3 linked regions of the Arabidopsis thaliana genome follow. The protein of the gene in region 3 interacts with the protein of the main gene of each other region in a pairwise test. Each region holds a gene or a part of one and is shown on either strand. Other genes may lie near its edges.

What was found. Proteins that work in one complex are often made in the same cells at the same time.
Region 1: the proteins of SPA1 (region 3) and CRY1 interact in a two-hybrid assay, tested with the Arabidopsis thaliana proteins (3 studies listed by BioGRID).
Region 2: the proteins of SPA1 (region 3) and PHYB interact in a two-hybrid assay, tested with the Arabidopsis thaliana proteins (4 studies listed by BioGRID, with this or other methods).

The regions. Positions count from the first base shown.
Region 1 is NC_003075.7:5,722,081-5,727,801, forward strand, and holds CRY1 (cryptochrome 1), read left to right. Parts: upstream 1-1,570; 5' UTR 1,571-2,179; coding exon 2,180-2,513; intron 2,514-2,680; coding exon 2,681-2,899; intron 2,900-2,982; coding exon 2,983-4,471; intron 4,472-4,821; coding exon 4,822-4,825; 3' UTR 4,826-5,188; downstream 5,189-5,721.
Region 2 is NC_003071.7:8,137,858-8,144,994, reverse strand, and holds PHYB (phytochrome B), read right to left. Parts: upstream 5,233-7,137; 5' UTR 4,917-5,232; coding exon 2,753-4,916; intron 2,665-2,752; coding exon 1,857-2,664; intron 1,767-1,856; coding exon 1,476-1,766; coding exon of another isoform or gene 1,346-1,475; exon of another isoform or gene 1,100-1,345; coding exon 844-1,099; 3' UTR 534-843; downstream 1-533. Other genes in the region: XTH21 (xyloglucan endotransglucosylase/hydrolase 21), read right to left, coding at 1-48; AT2G18780 (F-box and associated interaction domains-containing protein), read left to right, coding at 6,900-7,137. UniProt on the Arabidopsis thaliana protein: Regulatory photoreceptor which exists in two forms that are reversibly interconvertible by light: the Pr form that absorbs maximally in the red region of the spectrum and the Pfr form that absorbs maximally in the far-red region.
Region 3 is NC_003071.7:19,021,626-19,029,266, reverse strand, and holds SPA1 (SPA (suppressor of phyA-105) protein family), read left to right. Parts: upstream 1-1,738; 5' UTR 1,739-2,105; exon of another isoform or gene 2,106-2,300; intron 2,301-2,387; 5' UTR 2,388-2,445; coding exon 2,446-3,849; intron 3,850-4,150; coding exon 4,151-4,308; intron 4,309-4,560; coding exon 4,561-5,371; intron 5,372-5,573; coding exon 5,574-5,720; intron 5,721-5,878; coding exon 5,879-6,196; intron 6,197-6,283; coding exon 6,284-6,343; intron 6,344-6,503; coding exon 6,504-6,695; 3' UTR 6,696-7,113; downstream 7,114-7,641. Other genes in the region: AT2G46360 (uncharacterized protein), read right to left, coding at 467-760. UniProt on the Arabidopsis thaliana protein: Controls normal photoperiodic flowering and regulates circadian rhythms. Required for suppression of photomorphogenesis in dark-grown seedlings and for normal elongation growth of adult plants.

The DNA.
Region 1 (5,721 bases), on a different chromosome or scaffold from region 3:
TCTATTATTTTTTGTACATACATATAATAAAATAATAAGCTCTTTCTAGCTATATTATGAATACTCCTACGAGCAATAAAATAATAAAAGGCACGTTATTTACACTCGAAAACAAGCTAATTTAGAGGTGGTCGAGAGCAGATATCATGATTGTTTTTTTTAATGTATGTAATCCGTTCATTTGTGTCATCATTATTCATTTTTATATTATTTATCCGCTTTGTTAAATATATTTTGTCTGATGTGAATTAATTGTTGAGCGGTAAACCAATCATGAAGTTATCTTTAAATTAATGTGTTATTGATAAAAAAAAAAGTAAATTAGTTGTAAATTTTTTTTTTCGTCAATTTGTTGTATACTTAATCTGATGAATATTTATGATTTTCAGAAATGTATGTTTGTATCTTCTAATTTTTACCCACAAAATTCAATGTCCTACGCATATGATGGAATTTAACCAAATACAAGTAGCTAGTTAGTGATTCTGATTTGTTATTTTTTTTTATGTAGGTCTAAGTTATAAATCAATTTTCTTCGAACCTAAAATATATTTTTAACCAGCTCTCAGTATCATGTTTAAAGCTATTAAAAAATTTAAGTAGACGATTCGACAACTACGCTCACCCTAAAAAAATAATCAGATGAAAAAAATCTAAATCTAAACTATCAAACATATTAAAAACAATTATGAAGACTATTCGACAACTACGCTCACTATAAAAATTAATCAGAAGAGAAAAATGTAGATCTAAACTATCAAACATATATGTGATGGAATTAAAATTGGGTAAAGCCGTAAAAGAGGTTTCATAATTTTGGATTAGTGATTTGGTAACTTAAATTGACTTGTCAAGGGAGTCTTAACTCTATCATGAATCAAGATAAACACTCTCCACACCAAAAACAATATATATATATATATATATATAGATAACATAAAAAGTCCTAAAATATGTTAAAAGGCAAGGAGGGCCAACCATATCCATCTCTCGCCCACTTTTGCTAATATGTCACTCTCTCTCATATCCTAACCTTCCAATAACATTTCAGAACCATCCTCGGTACATCATTTATATGATTTCTCTATTATCCTTAATAATCAACTTTAAAAAAATAAAAGAATAAAATTAAGATATCATTTGTTTTACCAGATAAACCGATCCGATTCAAACTAAACCATATTGATATTTATAATCCAAAAACCTCAAATCCAAAACTATACCAAATCATTTATTATATCATTTTATTTTATCTGAATATACCATTTTTCATAACACAGAAATTTTAAAAACCTAAACGAAAATCGAAACGAATCAGAACCGAAATCCGAATTGAACCATTTGATAATTAACCAATAATCGTCCCACTAAAATCCAAGTGTATAAAAAATCAGTTTAATATTTATATGTAGAATATGTTCTAGAGAATTATAGTATAAGATTCTACATTTTTTTTTTTTTTTTGAACAAAGAAAAAAGGAGAAATTTTAGGGAAAGGAGTAGAAATCTTGTGAGTCACAGTTGATTTGGTTCAACTGGATTGGGATAATATTTCAAGTGGAAAGAAATAAATAAAAGTTGTGGTGGAAAATTATTCCAATAAATCTCGTCGTGTGAATTGAATCATTATTCCTAGTGTCAATCTTCTTCACCTCTCTCTATCAACCTCCAATTTCTTCTTCTTCTTTTTTTTTAGATAACTTATTTTTATTTTATTTTTCTTTGATTTTTCACTTTAAGACAAAAATAATAATTTTATATTTCTACCAAAAATAAATAATAATTATAATTTAATAAGAGATAAATATTTTTTCAAACTGTAACCTAAACAATAAATAAATTAAAAGAGAAATTAATGCAAATATTGCTATATTTTTGGGTTATTACTTAGAGACTACTTTGTCCAAAATTAGGAAAAATCTTTTTGGGTGAATAATTCCCAAAAGTATAGTTGCATTTTGCCAGAGAGGCACTCAGAGAGAGAGAGAGATATTCGTAAAGATAAGCTTTTTTTTTTTTTTTGCCTTCTCATCAAAAATCTTTTTTTTTTTGTTGTCTTTCTTCTCGAGAGAGATAAGTGACCAAAGGGTTTCGATTTCTGGAAATAGTTTGAATAAAAAAGTAATTTTTATGTGATTATTGGCAAAGAAAAGTTTTAGTTTTTTTTAGTTTGTGAGAGATGTCTGGTTCTGTATCTGGTTGTGGTTCTGGTGGTTGTAGTATTGTATGGTTTAGAAGAGATCTTAGGGTTGAAGATAATCCAGCTTTAGCAGCAGCAGTAAGAGCTGGTCCAGTGATTGCTCTGTTTGTTTGGGCACCAGAAGAAGAAGGACACTATCATCCAGGTAGGGTTTCTAGGTGGTGGCTCAAGAACAGTTTGGCTCAGCTTGATTCTTCTCTTAGAAGTCTTGGTACTTGTCTTATCACCAAGAGATCTACTGATAGTGTTGCTTCTCTTCTTGATGTTGTTAAATCCACTGGTGCTTCTCAGATCTTCTTCAACCATTTGTATGGTCTGTTGTTCCTCTTCTCTTCTCTCTTTATCTTATCTTTGAATTTGCATGATAAAAAGATTTGATTTTTGTGATTGGAATCATCTTTTCTCTTATGGGTTATGTTTTGTTTGATGTATTTGTGGAATAAGATGATCTGGAAATGATAAAGTTTTGATCTTTTTCAGATCCATTGTCTTTGGTGCGTGATCACCGAGCTAAAGATGTTTTGACGGCGCAAGGCATAGCGGTTCGATCATTCAACGCAGACTTGCTTTATGAGCCATGGGAAGTGACTGATGAATTAGGCCGTCCTTTCTCTATGTTTGCTGCGTTTTGGGAGAGATGTCTTAGTATGCCTTATGACCCTGAGTCTCCTCTTCTTCCACCTAAGAAGATCATTTCAGGTTTGTTTCTTTGCCACTCTCTCTTGTGGGTTTTCGTTTTTTCCAAATCTGTATCATTCAATAATGTTTCTTTTATGTTGCAGGGGATGTGTCTAAATGTGTTGCGGATCCATTGGTGTTTGAGGATGACTCTGAGAAAGGAAGCAATGCACTTCTGGCTCGTGCTTGGTCTCCTGGATGGAGTAATGGTGATAAAGCTCTCACAACGTTTATAAACGGTCCATTGCTTGAATACTCTAAGAACCGCAGAAAAGCCGATAGTGCTACAACCTCGTTTCTTTCTCCACACTTGCATTTTGGGGAAGTGAGTGTGAGAAAAGTTTTTCATCTTGTTCGGATCAAACAGGTCGCGTGGGCAAACGAAGGAAACGAGGCCGGGGAAGAAAGCGTGAATCTTTTCCTGAAATCTATTGGTCTCAGGGAGTATTCTAGGTACATAAGTTTTAACCATCCATATTCCCATGAAAGACCACTTCTTGGCCATCTAAAGTTCTTCCCTTGGGCTGTGGATGAGAACTATTTCAAGGCATGGAGGCAAGGCCGGACTGGATATCCGTTGGTCGATGCCGGGATGAGAGAGTTATGGGCTACTGGTTGGTTGCATGATCGCATAAGAGTAGTTGTTTCAAGCTTCTTTGTTAAAGTGCTTCAATTACCATGGAGATGGGGGATGAAGTATTTCTGGGACACACTTCTTGATGCGGATTTAGAAAGCGATGCTCTTGGTTGGCAATACATTACCGGTACTCTCCCGGATAGCCGGGAGTTTGATCGCATAGATAACCCTCAGTTTGAAGGGTACAAGTTTGATCCAAATGGTGAATACGTAAGGCGATGGCTTCCTGAACTCTCTAGACTCCCGACAGACTGGATACATCATCCGTGGAACGCACCTGAGTCCGTTCTTCAAGCTGCTGGTATCGAGCTTGGATCAAACTATCCTCTACCAATTGTAGGATTAGACGAAGCAAAAGCACGGCTTCATGAAGCGCTTTCACAGATGTGGCAACTAGAAGCTGCTTCAAGAGCTGCAATAGAGAACGGATCCGAAGAAGGACTTGGAGATTCTGCTGAGGTAGAGGAAGCTCCTATAGAGTTCCCAAGGGACATTACAATGGAAGAGACTGAACCAACCAGACTCAACCCAAACAGGAGATATGAGGATCAGATGGTTCCAAGCATTACTTCTTCTTTGATCAGACCTGAAGAAGACGAAGAGTCGTCTCTTAATTTGAGAAATTCAGTAGGAGATAGCAGAGCAGAGGTTCCAAGGAACATGGTTAACACCAACCAAGCTCAGCAGCGGAGAGCAGAACCGGCTTCAAACCAAGTCACTGCTATGATTCCAGAATTTAATATCAGAATTGTTGCAGAGAGCACTGAAGACTCAACAGCGGAATCTTCCAGCAGCGGAAGGAGAGAAAGAAGCGGAGGCATAGTCCCCGAGTGGTCTCCAGGGTACTCAGAGCAGTTCCCTAGTGAAGAAAATGGTATTGGAGGAGGAAGTACAACGTCTAGCTACTTGCAGAATCACCATGAAATACTGAACTGGAGACGGCTTTCACAAACCGGGTATGTAACTCGCAAATCCGACTCTCTCAACAATAAGTTCACATAAAGATTCTAAACATTTTCAAATTGAAAGTCTCCAAATTTTCAGTAAGTTTCAATCTTCCTACACAATTCAAATAAATCGTCGATGCGCGTTGTGCTTGGCACACTTGTCTAGCCAAGTAGTATCAGTTTTAAATTGAATTTAGCTGAAAAGTTTTGAACTGTTTTCAAATCCAAGTGTTTGCATTTACAGTAGACCACAGTAAAAAAATTAGTGAAAGTTTCTATGTTTCACAGTTCAATTGGAATTTGGTACATTGGTCTAACCAAGTGGCATGAAATTTACTGTGGTATGTTTGGTTTTACAGGTAAAAAGTGCATTTGGAGGTGCAAAAGGAGAGGAACATCATAAGGGCTGTAACTCCGGTGAAATCTGGTTGGACTGTAAACCGAGTACATTTGGTACGGTTTAATGTAATTCCGGTTATGGGGCTGGAGAGAAACTATGTAGGAGTTTGTCTGATGTACATTTTTTATTTATCTCTGGTTCCATCATGTTATAATACACTGTATAGTAAGTAGTCTGTTGCTTGTGGTATTAGACCAGGTCTCATACTTGTTGGCTTTCAAAGTTTTGGTTATAAGTCAAACAGATGCCAATTCTTAATCTTATAAACATATATAGTTCACATTTATTTATGATAAATGACTTGTTAGTGTATATGAAACACGTACGTCTACTTCCATATAACGAGAATCCGAATAGGTATGTATACTGATAGTAGCCTTCGACGTCACGAGCTTCCCACAAAATCTCGTGCTGATTAGAAACTAGACAAGACCACGATCTCAGTTATAATCTCTGCTGGGCCTAATTCGCGTCTGAAAAAACGTGTCTCACGAAACTGTGAATAACTTAATGAGCTTAAATCCAAAACAACTTCTATAAAATGGAAAACGACGATGAAAGACTTCGAAATAACTCTACCAAATTTCGTTACCTTTGACAACGATTTGATATGTTGAAACTGTTTCTTCCCCAATCCTAACGATTTTGATCCTTCTCCTTCTCTCTCTTTTTCTCTTTTACAGAACGAAAAATGACTAACCAAAGCTCTAATTCGAGTTTCCTTCTTTTATAGGTACACTCTAGGGTTTCCATTAACCCAACCGATTAAACCGGGTGATTTAAACACAAACCATAACCGATTTTCCGGTTTACGGGCTTTACACAAGAACTATTCCTTAATGATCTCTTATGATCCATC
Region 2 (7,137 bases), about 11 Mb from region 3:
ACCAAGAAAGAGAGATATTGACATAACCAAAAGTGTACTAGAAACCATTATAAGTTTTGAAGGTTTTAGGTGGGTTTAAGGGTTTGAATTGGGTTTGAGACATTTAGAAGGCTATTGATTGGTGAGTATTTATAGAGCATATATAATGGAGTTTTGATTCCTTAATGATTAGTTATATATTGTTAATATTTCAGTCTTTGAGCTTTACTTTAATTTTCTTTAAGAAAAAAGGTGAGTTTAGTGTGGGTAATGTGAAAAACGAAACAGCCTGGAGAGCATACACATCAAAACTATAGTGCGATACATCATAAACATTAAATTAACTATTGTTAATGTGTTACATCCTAAGCTTAGCCAGCCTAATTTAAACATCTCACTTTTTATATATATAGTGGAGTTTGTAAAATTTCAACTTTTTGGACGGTACCATTTCATCATAAATCTTTTAAAATTAATGTGATTGGCCTTTACCTCTTGATTGCGTAGACAGACTAATTGGATATAATATGATTTATAAATGGTTAACAATCAAATAATAATTTTGAATTGATGTAACGAGTAACAAATTAAAAGGATTGGTCATCGATTAATATGCTCTCTTCTTATCTCATTGTTTTGTTTCTCTCGGAGTTGTCAATTTACACAGCACAAACAAAAGTCTTGAAATTCTCTACAACTACTGTTACGTTTTTTTTCCGGCGAGCTGAGCTGAACGCAAATAATCTCCCTCTTCTCTACTAATCTCACCGGAAACAAAAAAAAAACTTTCTATCCTCCTCCGACGTCGTTAGACACACAAACACTCATACAATGATACAAACTCTCATACCAACTGAAGTGTGACTAATATGGCATCATCAGCATCATGTCACCACTTCCACTAGCAGTTGACAATGGTCGCTTTCGAGGTACAGGGAGTTCCAGAATGATGAGGAAATAGGACCGTTCTGATTCTCGGATGTATTGAACCTCACCGTTCATTAGCTTTAAAATCTTTCGACATACGCTTAGACCTAAACCTTCAGGGCTTGTCCACCTGCTGCTATGGAACATGTCTCGGACTAGCTCTGGAGGCAGACCTTCACCTGGACACGCCATTCTGCAAACAACGAATAAAGACATAACAAAGACACCAACACATGAAACCCAAGTTTTACACTTTTGAGCTGGTTTTCATCAATTTGAAAACATTACATTCCTTGACTGCTAATTCTAGGCCTATGGATGTGTCTAAAAGTTCCCAAGTCGACTAAACCGAATACAAAAATCAAACTAATCTAGGTTCCAACTAAACAATAACCAAAACAAATAGTGAATTGGTTAAAACCTCAAATTCTTTAAACGCCTAAATCAAATTCGTAATTAACCAAACCAAATTCATTTTCTTTATGTACAAAATAAGGAACCAAAAAAACCGGATTGCATAATTTTGGTTATGGATATGTGGAGACAACAGCGGGAACAATGAAATGTACCTGAATTCTGTGCGGATGGCGGCGAATCCATCAGCCATTTGCTTTGAAAGTTGGCTTAAATGGATCTCCACCCACTCTTGAGATGGTGCATACCGGATTATACTCAGCAGAAACTCAGCCAGGAGCTGTTGAATCCTTATCTGGTCTCCAAAAACCTCTATTGATTTGATCTCTTCGGGAATGTCACGGATCAGCTGAAGACCTCTGTCCCTTAATAAGAACATCGCTTGACTTACAATCGCGTTTATGACACTTCCAAGGAAAAACTCTTCCCTCTTTAGCACAAATGAACTGATCAATGAAAAAAACAAAATTTGGGATTTGGTCACATTTTGTGAAGTAAGCAAAACTAGCTTCTAGATAAATTCTAACTATACTCACCCGTCTTCAATGCTTTCAAGATCCATGTCCCCGACGATCCTTGAGATCTGTTTCTCGCAAGAAACACTTGTTTCAAGTAACTGCTTCTGGTCCTCGTTCAAGTCTGTGGCCTCCAACAATGAGTTTGCGAAACGCATACCGCTCAAAGGATTCTTTATCACCTGACAAATATAAGCCAACTCTTTTGCCTTCGTGAAACACTCTGTGTCCTGCCTCCGTTGGACTGCTAAAGCTTGCTGCAGCTCAGGGCTCGGGATTTGCAAGAAACAGAAAGCCCCAATAACCTTTCCCTCGAGGCTAACCCGCTTGTTTGCAGTCAATAGAGCCTGAACAAACTTCCCATTGCGGTCAAAGAATGGGAAAGGGAACTTATCCGTATCTTGGCCACCAATCGCATTATGCAATACAATCATGAACTTGGTTAAAGCATCAGGACCCTTTAGCATGCAACAGCTCCCAAACACTTCCCCGACAATCATTTTCCCAATCACTTCACTGCGAGACCAACCCGTAAGCTTTTCCATCGCCATGTTCCATTCCAGGCAGCACGTGTTCTCGTCAGCAGCAAAAATTGGCGGGATTAGAGGGTTTGGGCTATGTACAATAGCCTTGTAATCTCCTTGTATGTTGATGAACTTATCCATTACGATTTTCTGACTAGTAACGTCTTGTCCAACAAAACAAACGCCGACAATGTTGTTCAAGTAGTCCTTGCTGGAACAAGCATTCACAACCACAAAAACTGCTTTCCCTTGTAGTTCGGGGCTGAAAGTTTTCAGCTTAACCTCCACATTCTTTTCCTCGTCCCCTGCATTGCCAAATGCAACAAAATAATCAAATACCCGCGAATTGGTATATACACCGCAGATACAACATAGCTGAAGAACTGAATATACCTCTCAAAGCACGAGAAAGAAGCTTATTGACAGTTGCTTCATTCTCTTTGTATATTAAATCAGAAACCAGAGACTTCCCCATAGCTTCTTCAACTGAGAGACCTGTCAACTCTGCAATCTTAGCGTTCCATCCATTGATGCAGCCTCCGGCATCCACAGCGAATATAGGAACAGTTGCAGTCTCAATGAGCCTAACCATCTCTCTTGCAACTGCACCTAACTCATCAATCCCCTGTTCCCCCGCCATATCCCTACATGGCTGAACCACACCATCCACAACTTTAGAGTTCATAGCCGCCTCAGATTCTTTAAAAGAGTCTCTCAGAATAAGCTGGAGCGAGTGAATCGCATCCATTTCCGCAGTTTCCCATGGCTGACTCCGGCTCTTAACAACTTCAAGAAAAGCCTGAAAGGACGAACGAGGATGCATTCGTTGCCCATCATCTTTATCCTCCGGATGATGCTTAGCGCCTCCCCATTTGATTTCTTTCGCAGTGTGAGATCGAAACCAAAAAAGAAAGTCTCTTTTTGTGATATATGCAACTGCCATACCGCACACAGCATCCCCTAACGCAGCTGCACCGGGATACCCCGCATCGCCTAAACTATCAGTGCTTAATCCGGTTGAATCCGCATGATTCGCAAGCAACCACTCCACAACATCTTTTATCTGAACTTCACTAGGAGCAACACCCAACGGGTAATACTTCCCGTGGTAAAGAAATGCTGCACCGTCACATTTCACTAAGTCCATGATACTGGGACTCTGTGTAACAATTCCAGCAGGCGAGTCACGCAGAAGCATATCACATAACAGTGTCTGCGTTCTCAAAACGCGTTTCTCTGACATTTGCAAAGCTAACTGCAATTCCATGTTTAACTGTAAACCGAAAGCCTGCATCAAAAACTCACAAGCATACCTTAGCGGAAACGGTATGCAGCGAGAAGAAGTGTGATGGCAAACAACCAAACCCCAAAGCCTCATCGAGCTTCTTCCACTAGCTACATTGCTCCCATCATCTTCATTTCCATTGATTATAACCGCCATTGCTAAAGACGCAATAGATCCCATGTTAGCCATATACTGAGAGTGACAACCATGAGGAGCCCTAAGAGTAGAACCAACCAAGCACATAGACTGAGTTAGCCTATCGTCCTGGACCACAAGAACAGGTGTGGCATTGCAATCTACTATCATTCGGACACGGTTCTGCTTAAACAAGAACCTTGACGCTTGAGGAATATCAGTAGCAGGATAATGCAGTCCAATATAAGGCTCTAAATCATCTCGTTTACTCTCAGCTACAACTTCTCCATGCTCATCTTCATGAAACTTATAAACCATAACACGATCATAACCAGTCAAGTCCCTCACACTTTCCACGACAGTGTCACACAAAAGCTTAATATCTCCACCAGGAAGAGCCTGTAACTGAGAAATCGCACGAACCGCGAGTTTCTGCGATTGAACAGCACCAGCAATAGAAAGCGCAGGATCTTCAGTTCTAGCTGGCTCTAAATCAATAACAACACCAACATCAATCCTATGAAGAATGGCGTAAAACGGTTTACCAGTATTCTTGGAATGGATCCAAACCGGATTTAACAAGGTAATCTCTCGAGCAACGAAAGCACGCTCGAGTAGAATCGAGCTCGAAGAAGTGAACAAAGATCTCACATCAGTTCCCATAGCTAGAATCTCAGGTTTCTCAAGAGTAGGAACAGATTGAGGCATAATCCCTAACATTTCTCTGGCGTTTTCACTGTAACCGATGATCCGGAAACTGGATTCATCGACGGCGATCATACATCCGAAAGGCTGAATGTAACCACCTCGCTGGATTCGAGAGAGATAAGCTGTGATCTGTTGCTCAGGTACAGAGGAACCGTACGTCGTCGTTTTGAGTGATTGTGAGTAGTCGAATGATTTCCCTGATTCGCCGGATTGTTCGAAAACGGCGTGGAGTCTTGCGTCGACGGTGTACTGTTGAATTGCTTTGCTCATTGATTCAGTGTTGCTTCTTGGTCTGAGAGATTTCGTTCCCGACGATTGAGCTTGTTCTCCTCCTCTTCGGTTATTAGGAGTGTGACTTGACGACGGTTCTTCTTCTCCGCCACGGCCACCGCCACGGCCACCGCCACTACCCCCGACTCCGGAAACCATGCCGTTTGATTTTGAATTTGAGAAATTTCTCAGAATTACCTTGAGACAAGGAAGGATTTAGGGTGAATCATCATCCACTAGTTATCGGAGACGAATTCTGGTAGAGCTAAATTCTCAAGAATTTTGAACTTGAGGAAGAAGAAAATGGGGAGAATTGAGATCGGAGATAAGTGGAGAAACCAATAAAATAAATTGAAGAAGACGAAGCAAAATGTGTGCCTCTCAGATAGAGAGAGATAACAAAAAAAAATCAGAGTTTTTTTTTTTTTTGTCGTCTTCGCTTTTTGTTTCCTCATATATTTTCTGCGACTTTTTTTGTGTGGCGATTTTAGCAAATTACCTTTAAAGTTTTGATATTTATCAATTTAACCCAGAAGAGCTTTTGTTTTGTCGTTTAATGTGAGGGAGAGATTGATTGGGCCCAAGATCACGTGGGCTAATGGTTTATTCTCTCTAGTGGCCACACGTGGTTGCTGGGCCCATTGCGCGTGGGAGGGAGCCCCTGGACTTGTCGAATCGCATCATCAATTACGATTTCGAATTCGTACTATACAAGTTTGGTTTCTTCAATATCTTATCGTGGGTCAAGTCAACCAAGTGGTGTCCTCTCTATACAAATATTGAAATGTTTTATACTCTCATCGTACGTATATACTTCTCATAATTTGTACTAGATAGAATATAGAATCACATATTGGTCTCAAAGGGGTTCGAAGTAGTATTAGCACGCTCCATGCGGAATAGAATCATAAATTTTGCATAGTAAACTCGTCTAATACATAAGATATATTTTGGTCCACTTTGATATATACGTTGGATCTATATCATTACATTTTGTATAATACATGCATTGTACTACTTAGCATTACGTTTTATTGAATATATGCAATTCTTTTTTGACATATTAATGATTCTAAATTTGGATTATTTGGTGAAAGCATACAATTATGGTGCTTCGAAAAAAGAACATAAAATAAATTAAAGTAATGATAAAGAGGAAAAAAAGAGAGCAGAAAAACATATAAATGAGAAAAATCGTGTGCATGAAAAGTTAAGGGTCCATTACATAAATGATTTTGGGCCGCTCACAGTTTCATGTTAAGTCACTGCGTTCGTCCTTTTCTTTTGTTGAATGACTAATTTCTCCATCTCGTGTTGTTTGTTTTCAAAGCTCTATCATAATAAGTTAAGTATAACCGACCACTTTTTCTTTTTAACACTATTACATATATAAACATCCATGTTACCATGTATGAAGACAAAAACGATTATCTTATATACCCATAAAATATTATGGACCAAAAGTGAATAGTGAAAAGAAAACAGAAAAAAATTGGAATGACAAAAGAAAAACACACTATTCGTTGACAAAACAAAAGTTTAAATGTTTATTAGTGAGTAATGACCTCATATGTTTTGGTCTTATCTTGGACGAGATATGATTGGATGTCCACGAATTTAATCATGTACCTGTTCGCACTAGAGTGTACTAGTTCGTTGGCTAAGAATCGTCCACGTACAATAGTTTTAAACCACCAGTAATTTACCACGTGCCACTGAAATCAAATTAGCTAATAAACTACTCAATTACCAAATCACCCTTATAAACTCTCAATGATTCTTTAGGCTTGGCTGCTAATTTCTTAAAACTTTTGCATAACTTTTGCATAAATAAGAATAAGACAAAAGATGAAATTAATATAAGGGTACAATCGTAATTCAAGAATTTCCAAAATTCGTTCTTTAGTATAACGAAGAACTAGCTAGACATTATTAGGCATTGGGGCATACTTTAAAGCCCAAAACTAAGCCCTCCCATACTAATAAATCAGGAGCCCAAATTGGAAAAAACGACTTTAATAGCCTTTGGGTAATACTTTAAAGCCCAAGCCCAATTTAGAAACATCTAACATTTCTGAAGTGTTCGTTCTCTCATAATCTCTGAAGAAATCAGAGTAAAAGGTAAAGTAAAATTTCTTCGATATGCAAAAACAATCAACGACGATGCTCTCGGATCTTCCAAAGGATGTGGCGGAGGAGGTGCTCTCGAAGTTTCCAGTGACATCTCTGAGAAGAGTACGATTCACATGCAAAAAGTTGAACACTTTATCCAAAGATATGTCTTTTACAAGGAAGCACATCGATAAAGAAGAAGCAAAGAAGAAGCAGAGTAAGGAGTTTCATGTTGTGATGATGCTCGATTTTAGGGTTTCTTTATTCA
Region 3 (7,641 bases):
TTTACGAATCCGAAATAGAGAGAGGAGGATTTTCATGTTATTGTGGTGGAGGAGCTAGGGTCGTGTCAATGCTGCTTTTGGTTCATTGTTTAAGAACAATGATCATAACACGATAAGATTGATGAATGAAACGTTTCTATCTGATATACCACACAAATTTAACTAAGCATCACAAATCCGAATTAGAGCAGAGAAAATAATACAACATGTTGCTGGTTAGGTTGAAACATTGAATTTGCATCTCTTCTATAGTTGATACAAGATTGGATACATCTTCGTTACAAAGCGAATACTTGCTTACATTTAATTACGCCAAAAAATCTCTTCATTTTCATCTTTTACAGTTAATTAATAATGAAAAGATCTGTTCATCTTTATATATAGTGATCAATAACAAAAAAATTTGAATCCAATAAATATAATTGAACTCAGGTTCTGGGGGCAATCACAAGTCAGTCATGCGCCTTCACATTTTCCTGTAATGCCTGAATTCTTTAGCCATGGGCTGAAGCACGTGAGTCCTTTTCTCCATCAACTTTGTATCCTTCATAAACCTCTTGTTTGCACGTGCTCTAGATTCACGAGCCTCGTGTGCAACATGGTCTCTTCTCTCTTTCTCCAAACCATTCTCATCTTCCTTCTTCGTAGAAAGCTGAGAGAGAAGCACCACCATGAGATTTACCTCCATCAGAGAAGTTTTCTCGTCTTCTCTTTTCTCCTCCGCATCATGTTTACGATTGGCTTCGCGAGACGAATCCATAAACCCAAAAAGAAGACCCAAAAATGATACAATTATTGGGAGCTATTAGTCCCTAAATTAGCCCGTCTTTTGGACAAAATTTTTATCTTCTTCTTTTTTTTTTCTTGTGGTCATTCATAGTAACTAATTAAATCAATTTGCAATTTTTTGAGTGGTATTGGTATATTTTCCATCTTAAAGACTCGATGGTAGAGAAATAAGATTCCTAAATTCATTAGTCACAAGATCGACCAATTTTTATTTTTATTTTTCTTATCTCAAATGTTTCGTTTTGAGAACAACCAAACATTTAACCATTGATAAAATTGGCCAATGGCTAAAATGAATGCCTTTTCATTGTTTTTTTGACATCCTAAAATAAATGCTTAACTAATGGGTTTATGGAAAACAAAAGTTGTGTCCAAGTTATAAGCGAAGCAGCCCATAAAAGTATTAAAATGGGCTGAGCCCAATAACTGATAGGTGGAGTATATTAGTTTAAATTGTGTTTGTTGTACAAAGTTTCCCAAATGGGTTTCCAAAATGGGCTGAGCCCAAAAAGTGTTGTTATAGGTGAGGGTATATTAGTTTATTCGCAAAAAAAGCGTGGCTTAATAATCTCCACATCTTTCACGTGACCCCCCTCGAATGGCGAATAGATTAAGCGACGTCGACGTGTTTTAATCTCCTCCTCTTAACAAATATCCCTAAAGATTACTTCCCCCATGCAACACTCTTAATACCCACGCTTTTCCTCTTTATTTACCATCCTACCCCTATACTCACACATATCGTTTAACCAGAGAGGAAAAACCTGAGTGGCATAATCCGTAAATAAGACCAAAAAACAGGACCATCTCTAAAGCTGATGTCACTAATCAAAAGATTATGAACGTAATCTCGTGTCATAATCCTTTTGACCTCTTACTTAAACAAAACAAGTATAATAATTGGGCAGCCAAAATAAAAAATCTTTCTCTCTTTTTGCTATAAAGTAATGAAAAAATTAAATAAAATAATGTTCAAAAAATTGTCCGCCAGAATAAAGAAAATTTGATATGTGGCTTCAAAGCCTAAATTAATCATTAAAATAAAAAATCAGAAAATAAGGAATGAAGAACGAATTGTGCAAAAGTCTATAGAGAAAGAGAGATTCATTTGTGTTTCTTCGACTATACACAGAATACAAAAGAGATATTATATGTAATTATCAATAGTATATGACAAATTTATAGCCTCACCTTTCTTCTTCTTCTTCTTCTTCTTCTGTGTGTTTTTGAATTTGCTTTCTTCAAGAGGTTTCTTCTCCACACCGCTTCGGTGTATGATCTGATTGTGATCTCTCTCGATATCTGGGATCTTCGGGGTAAGCGATTTGATTTTTGTGTATTTCTCGTTTCTCGTAATCTTCATGATTGGTTTTAATAGTTTGCTGCGATTTTACATAATCTTCTTCTGTTTTGATTAGCTACTTTAGATTACAGCTAATGATACGTTTCGGGATTAGTGATTATTGTATGTTTAACTAGTTTTAGAATCTCTACATGCATGAATTTACTAGGTAGGGCTTCTTTCTTCTTCTTCTTCTTCTTCTTCTTCATTTTGTTGGTTTGATTCTGATTTGTTTTTGTATTGTATATGATTTAAGGTATGGAGGCTGTAGATTATTATTATTATTACGTGTGGTGCTGATGCAATGAGTGTTGATGCCTGTTATGGAAAGAGTAGCTGAAGAAACTGTGGCGACTAACAACATACAATTGAAAGCACGAGTGGATGATGTTCCTTGTAATAAGCTTGATGCTCGTCATAACGATATGGTGATTCAATCAGAAACTGCAAACAGTGATTGTCCTGGAAGCTCAGCTCACAGGAATGTTGATTTGACTAAGCCGCCGCCTCCTGAGGAAGCCGCAGGAGCTAAGCTTTCTGTTGAAGAGTTGACATTGGGGAACTACAGGATTGTTCAAGGGAGTAATAATACTAATGTGGATAGTCCTAGGGCTGGCAAGTTTGAGCATCTTTATCGTTTGGCTAGAGGGTCTGCTTTTAGGGCAGGAGATGGGGATCTTGATTCTCAACCTCGTGATATGGATCAAATGTTGTCCAGAATCAGACAACAGCTTGCTGGAGCTCCTTCTGAGAGGCAAAACTTGAAACCTTTTATGTCTAGGAGGAGCGATCAGAATCTTGAAGCTTTTTCTGAACGTCTAAGAGCAGCTGGTGAGAATAGTATTATGAATGCTCCTGCATTGATCAGTGAAGGTGTCCAAATGAAAACGCCGGTGAGTTCTTCGAATTTTTCTCAGTTGTTACTTAAAAGAGCTATGAAAGGGAAAGGGGTAGTAGGAAAGAACCAGGAAACTCCTCCTGAATTTGTCTCTGATCAAGATTTAGGAAGCAAGGAAAAAAAGTTGGATATTAGCAAGTCGCCTACTCCTCACGATGTGTTACCTCTAAAATCAAGTCCCAAAGGAAATGGTATGGTATCACATGGTGATGGGAATCATAGTAAATCTTCTATTGGAATCAGTTTGAGGGAGTTTCTTAGATCAAGTTATGCTAAAAGAGAAAAAAGACATGGCCTTTGTCTATTTAGGCAGCTGGTGGAACTGGTTGACTCAGCCCATTCAAAAAGATTATTCTTGCTAGACTTGAGACCATCCCTTTTCACTTTAGTTCCATCAAAGAAACTTAGATATATTGGTAATTTTGGAAAGAACGATCTAGAATCAGATGTTGACGAAGATTTGAATAGGAGGAGGCCTGTTGTTGAGGAATCATCTAGTGGAGGTAGGGATTCGAAGAAAAGAAAAATGGACTTGCATTTGAATTCTCCAGGGAATCAACTTCAGGCCACTTCAACCGGGCGACCTTTCAAAAGGAAAAGCCCTGTGATTGATTTAAACATGGTTGATGCACGTAATCCAGACAGTTGCGAGCTTCAACAGCAAGACTACATAAAAAATTTAAGCGTGTCTTCAGTGTCGAGAAAACAGTCTATGTCCACATGGCTAGAAGAGCAATGGTATACTTGTCCAGAGGAGATAAATGGAGAAGATATTGGAGAAAAATCAAATATTTATGCCCTTGGTGTTCTTCTGTTTGAGGTATGGACGAATACCCAGTTTTATTGTTGTGGATAGATTTTTAGTTTGCTTTAATACCAAGAAGGATGTAACATTTCCTTGCATTTGAACACTATGTACTGTCATATCCTGCTTATGTGGGCTTTGGGTAGTTTATATTCTTTCATTTTCATGAAATTTCTTACTCTAGTCTGAACTTTGAATCCCAGAGCTAGTATTTTCCAGTCTGCAGTATATAACTTGTCAGTATTTTTGTTTACTTGTTTGATACTTTCATGTGAAGACGCCTACTGACATCTAGCTTGACCAATTGTTGTTTCAGTTGCTATGCCATTGCGAGTCAGGCGAGATGCATGCTGCAATGATGGCAGATTTACGCCATCGGATTCTCCCACCAACATTTCTCTCGAAATACCCGAAGGAAGCTGGATTTTGTCTTTGGCTTCTACATCCTGAACCCTCCTCCCGACCATCAGCTAGGTATTTAGCTGAGTGCTACTCTTTTATGATTCATGTGGGCGAGTATTTACTAGGAGTCTAGGAGTGGTACAAAGGAGAATCTGTAGACCTTCCATTAGCTTAAATAGTCGTATTTAAGATTTCTTTGCCGGATATCTTCAATTTTATTTAATGTTTTCCCGCTTAATTGTGAAGAAAAAAAATGGCATGCTACTGTGTGAATTATCTTCTTGTTTCTTTTTCTGTTCTCATTCTTTTCTCTTTATGTGACAGAGATATACTAAAGTCAGAGTTGATATGCGAGGATGATTCAGTTAAATCGACTGCTGCTGCTGAGGAGATATCTGAGCTGTTACTTCATTTTTTGTCTTCATTAGAAGTGCAGAAGAAGAAAAAAGCATCTAAACTTTTGCAAGATATCCAGACCTTAGAGGATGATATTAAGGAGGCCGAGCGAAGATATTCTTCAAATGTATCTCTGGTGAGATCTCATGGAGCTATTGAAAAAAGGGTGCAATCATCTCCCCTAGACGAGCACTGTACAACTTCCAGTGCCTTGTTTGTACCAACTGCTAATACAGACAGGCTGATGAGTAATATCCGTCAACTTGAAGATGCATATTTTTTCATGCGATCACAAATCAACTTATCGAGTTCTGCTGCTACTGCCCGTTCTGACAAAACACTAAAGGACAGGGACAGATGCTCTGAAAACCAAAATGAAAATCAGGATATGAGTACCAAAGGAAAATCTTCAGATCAACTCGAAGTGTTTTTCGAGGGGTTGTGCAAATTTGCTCGGTATAGCAAGTTCGAAACCTGTGGGACAATAAGAAGTGGGGACCTTTTAAACTCTGCAAGTGTGGTCTGCTCGTTGAGTTTTGACCCTGATGAAGAACACATAGCAGCAGCTGGGATATCAAAGAAGATCAAGATTTTTGACTTCAATGCATTTATGAATGAATCTGTCGGTGTTCATTATCCACTAGTAGAGATGGTCAACAAATCTAAATTAAGCTGTGTTTGCTGGAATAGCTACATCAAAAACTACTTGGCCTCGACTGACTACGATGGTGTAGTTCAGGTACCTATCGATGTCAAGTTTGGAATCTTTCTTATTTACCATCATATGTTGCACGGTAGGATCTATAGGACTAGCCTCATGTGCTTTCTCTTCCTCTATGAGATGTGTACATGTTAATCTTGTGATAAGATAGAGATATAGAAGCGTCTATTTCATGGTTTTCACTTGCCATTTTCTTACTGTATGGTGCTAATGAATGTAGATATGGGATGCCGGCACTGGACAAGGATTTTCGCAGTACACAGAACACCAGAAGAGAGCCTGGTCAGTTGATTTTTCTCCATCTGACCCGACAAAATTTGTTAGTGGAAGTGATGACTGCTCGGTGAAGCTTTGGAGCATCAATGAGGCACTTCTCTTTCCTTTACCTCCTGATATTGCAAGAATTTTCATGTCCCCGTTGTTTTTATTACTCCAGATTATAGCTCCATAAGGCATGATTCTCTGTTTATACTTGTGAATTTCCAAATCTAGTGAAACTTATATTCTTCTCTGTTTGGTATGCAGAAACGTTCATTAGGCACAATCTGGAGTCCAGCAAATGTGTGTTGCGTGCAATTCTCTTCTTATTCCAATCACTTATTGGCATTTGGGTCAGCTGATTACAAGGTCTATTGCTATGACCTTCGGTATGTCAAAACACCTTGGTGCACATTGGCTGGTCATGAGAAAGCGGTGAGTTATGTTAAATTTATGGATTCAGAAACCATTGTTTCTGCTTCCACTGATAACTCTCTCAAGCTTTGGAATCTTAACAAGACAAATTCCTCTGGTTTATCTCCTGGTGCTTGTTCATTGACATATAAAGGACATACAAATCAGAAGGTTAGTCCCAAAAACTTTTCTATCTACCTTTAACATCTCATCCAACATCATTAGTTAGTTCTGATGTCTAATCCTTTACCTGTGCAGAATTTCGTTGGATTGTCGGTTTTGGACGGATACATAGCTTGTGGTTCAGAGACCAATGAGGTATATATCACATCATAAAACAAAATCTCAACCTTTAGAATACTTAATTTCAGATTATCAAAGGTGGTATATGTCAATCGCGTTTAGTTTGTTTATGAAGCTGCCTAAAATTAGTTGTTATAACTTACTAAAAAAACTTTACTTTGATTTTGCGTCTTAGGTATATAGTTACTATAAATCTTTACCGATGCCAATGACTTCATACAAGTTTGGATCCGTCGATCCCATTTCTGGAAACGAATACTTTGATGACAATGGACAGTTTGTGTCGAGCGTCTGTTGGAGGAAAAAATCGAATATGCTTGTAGCTGCAAACTCTACTGGAAACATGAAGCTACTAAAACTTGTTTGACAACTTGGCCTTTTCGCTACTACTGCGGGCATTGGACTTTTTGAGTCTGAAACTAGGACAAAGCAGGTCTGACTTTGAAGCAAACGTTTTTGTCCTGGAAACTATGATCCCATATGACCAGAAGAGAAAAAAAGTTCGAAATCTTGGAGAAGTTGAAGAAGCAAAACTGTCTGTGATAATATATTATTTGATTCTTCTTCCTGTAATTCTATATATATGAGATATAATTTGAGATAAACTTCTCAGATTCTTCAGAAATGATTCATATTTGGTCGGCATAACGTGTAATGATGAGAGGTATATAACTTGTACAAGTGTGTTATATCGTTAGCTCGGTTATGTAATTGTTGTTGGAGATTCTCTATAAGAGAGAAAATATATATATCATCCATTCATTTCATCGCATGGCTACTACCTCTCGTCTGCGTATTTCACAATTTATGGTTTTAGATTCAGTGTTGTTTTAGAAGAAATTCATAACAATTGCACATACGATGTTATTAGTGTGACCACCAACTTCAAGTCTCTAGGAAAACAAGTAGAATATGTCGTTGATGAAGGGCACATGGGTTAAATGTGGTTATTTTTTTCCTATTATCTATTACTATAAATCTCGAAATCATGAATTAGACATGTTCTTTGTATCTATGTCCAACATGTAATGGGTACATTGTATGTTTAAGAGTAAAACTAGGATAGGAAGATGTAATTGATTGCTTGGTGGCGTGGGTTTAGGCCTTTGAGCCAACATTTCTCTTTAGATTTGAACCCTCTGCTTTCGCGAGAGACTCTCTTTGTCTTGCGTTTTAAAAATCAAAACATTATCCTTCCTTCGAAGCAAAATCTTTAAGATTTTGGTGCTATGCCATCTCTTGCAAGTCATCTTTCACATCTGCCAGGTAAGTGTCTTTTGAGTATTCCAATTCTAACAAGTCCGGACAAACAA